Danio rerio: one gene and its partner. The protein of the gene in region 2 purifies or fractionates together with the protein of the main gene of each other region. This does not show direct contact. Links are inferred from orthologs where the notes say so. Each region holds a gene or a part of one and is shown on either strand. Other genes may lie near its edges.

What was found. Proteins that work in one complex are often made in the same cells at the same time.
Region 1: the proteins of irak1 (region 2) and peli2 purify together in Homo sapiens (affinity purification with western blotting; 7 studies listed by BioGRID and IntAct, with this or other methods). This does not show direct contact. The link is inferred for Danio rerio from reciprocal best matches to the Homo sapiens genes IRAK1 and PELI2.

The regions. Positions count from the first base shown.
Region 1 is NC_133192.1:49,057,960-49,061,617, reverse strand, and holds part of peli2 (E3 ubiquitin-protein ligase pellino homolog 2), read right to left. Parts: intron 1,214-3,658; coding exon 1,016-1,213; intron 726-1,015; coding exon 537-725; intron 1-536. UniProt on the Homo sapiens protein: E3 ubiquitin ligase catalyzing the covalent attachment of ubiquitin moieties onto substrate proteins. Involved in the TLR and IL-1 signaling pathways via interaction with the complex containing IRAK kinases and TRAF6.
Region 2 is NC_133183.1:9,121,918-9,125,575, reverse strand, and holds part of irak1 (interleukin-1 receptor-associated kinase 1), read left to right. Parts: coding exon 1-1; intron 2-142; exon of another isoform or gene 143-187; coding exon of another isoform or gene 188-258; intron 259-431; coding exon 432-546; intron 547-1,959; coding exon 1,960-2,072; intron 2,073-2,687; coding exon 2,688-2,895; intron 2,896-3,658.

The DNA of each region.
Region 1 (3,658 bases), on a different chromosome or scaffold from region 2:
AGTATCTGGACGCAGCCTTTATGATGCAAGCTGAGACTGCATCGCTCAGAGATGCAATGTGAGAAACAATGCACTAAATGGAGCTAGTGACATCACTGTAAGGGAGTAGGGTTAGGGGTTAGGCGAGCACATTAAAAAGCATTGGATGCAGCTCAGGTTGCATCTGCACCAAGTCTGCAGCCAGACCTTTCTCTGATTTTGCCAAGTACGACGAGATCCTGGATTTACATCTATGTTGATCCTGGAACATCATTTTTGATCAAAAATGTTATCCATACTTAGTCCTTACTCCTAAACCCGACCATAATTCTAAATGATTCCCAAAATCTGAGCGGAATAATAGTTGTATAACAATCAAGCAGAAGTGCAAAAACCAAACCGCAAGCTTAAACTTAAACTGTAAATGTATCCCTTAATTCTGATTGGCTGATTCGAATGTTGTTCCAGGATCAACATAGATGTTAATCCAGGAACATGTCCTACTTGGAGAAAACAGGCGGTAAACTACACTGAACAGACACCGCTCACATACTAACCAATTTTCCTCGAGTTTGAGCAGAGCGTGTTTCTCTCAGTGTGTAAACATCTCCACACACTGATATCTCCCTCCACACACCAGGCTTGGATTCCTCTGTGAACCCGCCCCGCGGGTGCATGACTAGCACCCCATTGGTAGTCAAACCGTCCATGTGACCATCTGGATTCTTCCATTTGGCTGCTTTTTCCTGCAGAGAGATTTAATTACTGTACATAAACAAAAATATGTGCACCGCACTTTGTTTTTAGGTACACATGGGCGAGTCATTCCAGTTAGCCAGACACACCTATATTTACCAGGTAAGTTTAGATCAGTTCCACAGGATCAGCAGAAGTGGATACTTCCCCAGACAGCTCATGCACACGTATATTACTCCCCAGACAGCAGTATATATTTATAAATAATAGCTTGATAAAGTATCTAGTAATGCATCTCAGACAATTCCATTTCAGGACCAGGCATAAAAACCGCACTTACTCCGAGAAATATATTCTTGGAAGAATCGAAGCCTGCAGCGAAGATTCGTGCGGTGTAGGGTGGGTTACGCTCACACACCACCCGGCAGGCGAAGCGGGAGATGGTGCTTTGAGTGATGGGTGTCTCCTCACTCTCTCCTCCCCCTGACACAGTGTCAGTCACCACAAAGTCAATCGGGCCCTCCGTCGATCGGCCGATCTAAGATACAACAGACAAGTTCAAAGATTCTCAGATACATCTTATATTGTCATACAGACAGCTTGCTGTGACTGCATGACTCAGATGGGAAACATTTTTTAATAAACACAGGGTTACCACAGATCATGGGCTATCTGGAATTTCTGAATTTTTTATTCTTTTTCAGGTAATTTGACTGCCAGGGATTTTTGTTATTAATTGAAAAAAAATACTTCATTAATTCATTTGAACTTCCAGTCTATCTTTGTTTGGGCTTTAGCACTGTATCCTTAACAAAAGTGACATGAGAACGTGATTAAAGATACATTTTTCTTAATCTGCTCAAGTGCTATTAGGTCATGAAAATACATCATTTTAGTCAGTAAAAGTCATGACATTTGGCTTAGCGTGGGTACTCTGTATACAGTAATATTAGTGGTAGAAGTAAAAACAAGTATATATTGCACAATACAGTTTAAAAGTTAATGATCAATAAAATTTGAAATAAAGTCTTTTGAAATCTAACCCGGGCTGCATTTAACACAAATGCACCAAAATAGCCGTTTTCATTGGAATTCATTTAAAATAAATTCATAAGCACTGCTGTGATGGTACATTTAAATTTGAAAAAATATACACACATACACATTAACACTTTGCCCATTTAATGAATAGCACAATAAAGCTGTCACTTTACCATCACTTTAGAACTTGCACGAGAAACATTGGCAGCAGTACATATGATCAATATGCACTGGACCAAATCAGAATTTAGATTTTAGTCAACGGGCATCTAAGTGGCACTGAAATGAGGCACCAAGGAATTGAAGGCAAGGGAAGCATCAATGATACGTTTCTTTATATGAAGCCAACTGGTTTCCTTTTTAATCAGCAACCTTAAGTATTATAACTTGTATTTTTATTGTGAACCTGCTTGCTTTATTTGCGGAGTCTTAAATTATCGCACTACGTTACCAATGTACGAGTTCGCAAATGTGCATTCAACTGTTTTTACAAAACTTAGCTGGTCTACAAGATGTCAGAACTGAATCAGGCTGTTTTTTGATTCACTGTCCAAAAAAAAACAATGACAAACCAACATAAACATTGCTGAAGATGGCAATGTTTAGTGGAATCATGGACGTCAGCAACACTACTGTAAATAATCATAAGTTTTGTGACAAAACCCTTATGATGCAATAAAAACAAGTCAATGTGTTGTTTATTAGCAGAAAAGGCAAAAAAAATTTCATATTTATGCTAAAGATTTAACCATTTGAAACCGGTTTGTAGACTGCTGTTAAAAGCACTGTAACTGTCAATTTTTTGTTAATGTTTTTGTATCTAATTTGTATTGTTCAGTAATACAATCTCACTTAAAAACTTAACACCGAACCCTATACTGGAATCAAATAATCAATTAAAAACAATCCATATCTTGGTATATCAGGAATCTGAGGAGCAAAAACAAATTCTTAAATGAGCAAACTATTGTATGTGGTTTGAGTCAAGTGACAATTACGGTCCCTACACCGTTTAGCCTCAAGAGTAAACAGGATGGAAAATAGTTCTGCATGTGCTGGTACTTGTTTGAAGAGCTTATTTTGGTTTTAAATGTGGGATGGAAATTCCCAAGAATAGAGAGGTGCTCGTTGCACTAAATCCTGTTTATAAATACATGTACTGAAATAAAAGACGCAACGCTCTCCACTTTATTTCCTTTTTATAGAGAGAGTTTCTGTTTTGTCCTTGTGGGCTACTGCTGCTGGTTCCTGTTTTTGCTTTTCTTCTCATTTGCTCATTTCCCATCTGCATGACTCTTTCCATCATGTGCAGACCTGGGGCTTGTACAATGAAGCTGAATTAGCTGGCAAGTCAGCTAAGTTTTGGTTTGCACCAATCCTGGATTTTCGGTACCAGTAAGAAAGCTCAGCTTTAATCGTTATTTGTTGCGATGGTATTCTATGCTGCATAGCTAAACTGCTCCAGGGCTGCTTTTATGTTCTGGATTGGAGATCACAAACCGACATTCAACAAATCAACTGAGAACAAAATTGACATCTGACGCAATAAAGAAACTCCAGTTTCTGTTGCTATTAATTAAAAAGGGCTGTATTTTGTAAAATACTTATCAAAAGAAAAAAAAATCTTCTGGTTTTAAATGCAGAATAATTATTTTATCCACAATCAATTACAAGCCTTTTTAGTTTAACAACCAAGTAATAATATTTATATATACATTTAATGATATGGGTTTAGACTTCATCTCCTGATTATTTAAATAAATAAATAAAGACAACATACGACTCTCTGTATGTATATCTACACAGTGCATAAGTGTAACAGAAGGCAGCTAGTGAAGTGTTGTGAGGGTAAACCTTACTACTTTGACCTCTAAAGGGACTCCAGCGACATATAGAGGCCATGGTCTTCAGCCCCCTTGTTATAGCAACCGAACACCATACA
Region 2 (3,658 bases):
AGTAAGAAGCTCTGCCTGTCCGTCTGTCGCTCCTGTGGCTCTTGCTTCCTTCTCTTGTGCTTTTAAATCTGAAGTCTTTCCTGTTTTCTCTTGATCAGCTTTTTGTAAGCTTGGCTGAGATTCATTTCTGTTTGTTCAACAGACTCGCAGAAAGGGATTTCCCCGCTTGAAATTTTGATTACTCTTTATGCACATCACCACACCTCTTCATGACCCAAAAAATGAGTCTCCAGCCCACTCTTCAAAACTTTTTCTGTGGTTAGTTTGAATCTTTTTGTCATCTTAGTGGGTCATTTGTTTCCCCTGACACTTCAGCCAACACTTTCAAGCCTTGCTTTCCTCAGCTATTGTAAAGCCTAAATGTTTAGAATAATTTATAATTAATAGTTTGACACTTTTTTTTTTTAATTACTCCCTGTTTTATTCCACAGGTACAGACATCCCAACATTATGGACTTTGTTGGCTACTGTATTTCAGGACAAACTTACTGTGTCATATATGTTTATATGCCCAACGGCTCTTTAGATGACCGGCTGCGCAATGAGGTAATTTGCATTTCCATTCATTCGTTTTCCTTCGGCTTAGTCTCTAATTCAGAGGTCGCCACAACGGATTGAACCACCAACTATTCCAGCATATGTTTTACATGGCGGATAAACCGCCAATCACAACCCACTACTGGGAATTACCCATACACTCTCGCATTCACACACACTATGGCCATTTTAGTTTATTCAGTTCACCTAGAGCACATGTCTTCGGACTGTGGGGAACACCAGAGTAGAGGTCTGCGCAGGACAGATTTTTAAGTTTTGCTCCTGCCCGCACCCGCAATGTTTTATTCCACACCTGACCGCTCCTGCTGTATATTCAGCCTTTGTTCACCTGCTGCCCACTTAGAATCATTTTCTGCCCAACCGTTCCCACTAAATTTAGATCTGGTTTCCAAAATCTCCTGTTTAAATCGGGTACTAGCAATAGAAAGAGATAACAAACAAAACTGTGGGTTGTGCAAGGACTGTAGGCTAAATGTCTGCAATGAATGCAAGCTGAAGGACATCGCATCTTCACTTTGCTCTCCCATGTTCGTTAAGCCTGCTCTGAGGTTTGTTATGCAGGTGATGCGCGCACAGACTGCGCAAATAAAAAGCACGTGCAGAAAGCACTGGTCATGCATTCAGTCTGTTTAGATCAGTGATCTGAAGCAAAGCAAAGTCTCTTTTAAGGGAAGTCTGTTCATTTGGCCTTTGCTTTACAATACCAAGTCCTATGTGTTTTCTAAAATGGCAAAATCTACTTTATGAATCTAAAGTTTTAAAAATTCTAAGCACCAGTCTTGTGTGTTCCTGTGTAAATCAGAGCTTCTAATGGCAGCTGAAGGGACTTTACCAATAATGCCCTTTTGTTTAGGCGGTGGCGTCACGTGTATCAAAGAATTTCTATTATAAGAAAATGTATTTGCTTTCACTTCAACCCTTTCCAAAGCTGCGTGAATCCTTTTTGAATTATAGTCTATGGAAAGCCCCTATGTGCTTATTTTACATATAGTGAAAGTGAACAGAGCTGTCAAGTCAATGAGCACCACAAAGCTAGTCTGTATGACTCACATTTTAAGTGTTCTGAGGTCATGCAAAAGAATGAAAGAAAATCACCTTGTTTGTTGAGCTCTTTAATCTCAATTGCAAGTCTGTACATTAAAATAATGATGCATCACAATATTGTTTCACAAACTCTTCGACAAGATGTGGCATGTCACTGGTTTTCCTGGATTGAATATATGGATATACACTTAGTACTTTTATGATTGTTACGTTTTGCATCATGCAGTTTTATGATGTGTAAATAAGCCCTCAAGAGAGTGATTCTTGTAATGACATATTGATAAAGTTTTCATTTATGTTGGTCTAGTTCTGTCCGGTCTATGGGTTAGGTGTTATTCTCTGTTTTTTTTCTTTCAGGACAGCAATGCCCTCTCTTGGTCGCAGCGTGTAAATGTGTTGCTGGGAACTGCAAAAGCTATTCAGTACCTGCATTCATGCTCACCTGCTCTTATTCATGGAGACATCAAAAGGTGAGTGCAAGAATATGTATGATACATTTCAAAAGATTGAGCTGATTTCTTTTGTTTAAAAACAGGGCTTTTATTCTGCAAGGATGTATTAAATGAATAATTTTTTTAAATAAATAATATGAAGTATGTCACAACAAAAACCATTCATTTAAAATAAATGCTGTTCTTTTGACATTTGGATTTATCAAAGAATTCTGAAAACAGAATCATGGTTTGGTGTTACTGGTTTCACATCAGAAATCAGAAAGAGCTTTATTGCCAGGTATACAACAGAATTACAGAGACTGGACAAAAAAACTGATAGTAAATATACTTAAAAATAGAAGTAAGTAGTGAATGCAAATATACAAATTGGCAAGTGTACAGGTATATTACTATATACAACATTATATGTGCAGCTGTCATCTGCAAATTGTCATGTAAAGTATGTTGTTAAATAAATATGCGTATAAAAAGTAATGATGTTTTTTTTTGGGGGGGGGGGGGGGGGGGGGGGTAAATGCATTTTTTCATGTACGTAAATTAGTTTAAATAGGTTGCAATTGTCATTTTATGTAAATCAATAGGTGGCACCACCAGGCTTTTCACAAACCAGTCGTGTTCCCTTTATTACAGCTCTAACATCCTTTTAGGGGATCATCTTGAGCCCAAGCTCGGGGATTTTGGATTGGCGCGTTTATGCCGAAATCCTAATAAAACCCCAGGCAAGACATCCACTGTGGCTCAGACTGCAACGGTACGAGGAACTCTCGCATACCTCCCGGAAGAATACCTCAAGGATGGCCAGCTTGGAGTGGAGATTGATGCCTACAGTTTTGGAGTGGTGAGATGCATCACAGATGTTCATTGCGAAGACATAGCAGTAATCAGGGGTGCACATCAATTTTGGAGCAAAAGTGTTGATCTTATTGATCGACCAGATTTTAATGTGGTGCGTCAAAAAAACAAGCCGGAGACATAAAAATGGCCCTTTTTATGCTTGTCGTTTGCTCATCGGTGTAGTACTGAATGCCTTTATTTAATAACATAATTAACTAAAGAAACCACAATCTCTCTTGGCTACATTTCTTAGCTAGAGTTTTGTTTAGGACCTTAAATTGTAATGTTTAAGGAATAAATCAGATTCATGCCTTACCACACAAGGTATCTTGATGGGTTCTGCAAAGTATTCCAATGTCCACTCCAGTGAAGAAAATTAATAAAATATCATTTTATTCATAAATCCAGTTAAAAAGAAGAAAAAAACAATCACAATAGCAAAACAAAATCCTTAACTTTATCCTCTGTTGAGAATAAAGGGCCTAAGACATTCATTATACAGTCAGTTTAAGCGCACTGCTGGTCTGTCTGCACCAGCCTTTTATACGGTATTCCAGCCTTGAATACAGGCATAGAAATCCCCTCCAGTAAAAACACCGCAAAGTAACAATTAGTGTCTGATGTACGATTATCTGTTCTGATATTCCTGAGAATATTTGTTAATACATAGAAATCCCTTTCAGTAAATACACAGCAAAGTAGCAAGTAGCGTCTGATATACTTGAGAATATCTAAAGTTTGATATACTTGAGTATATCTGTCAATAC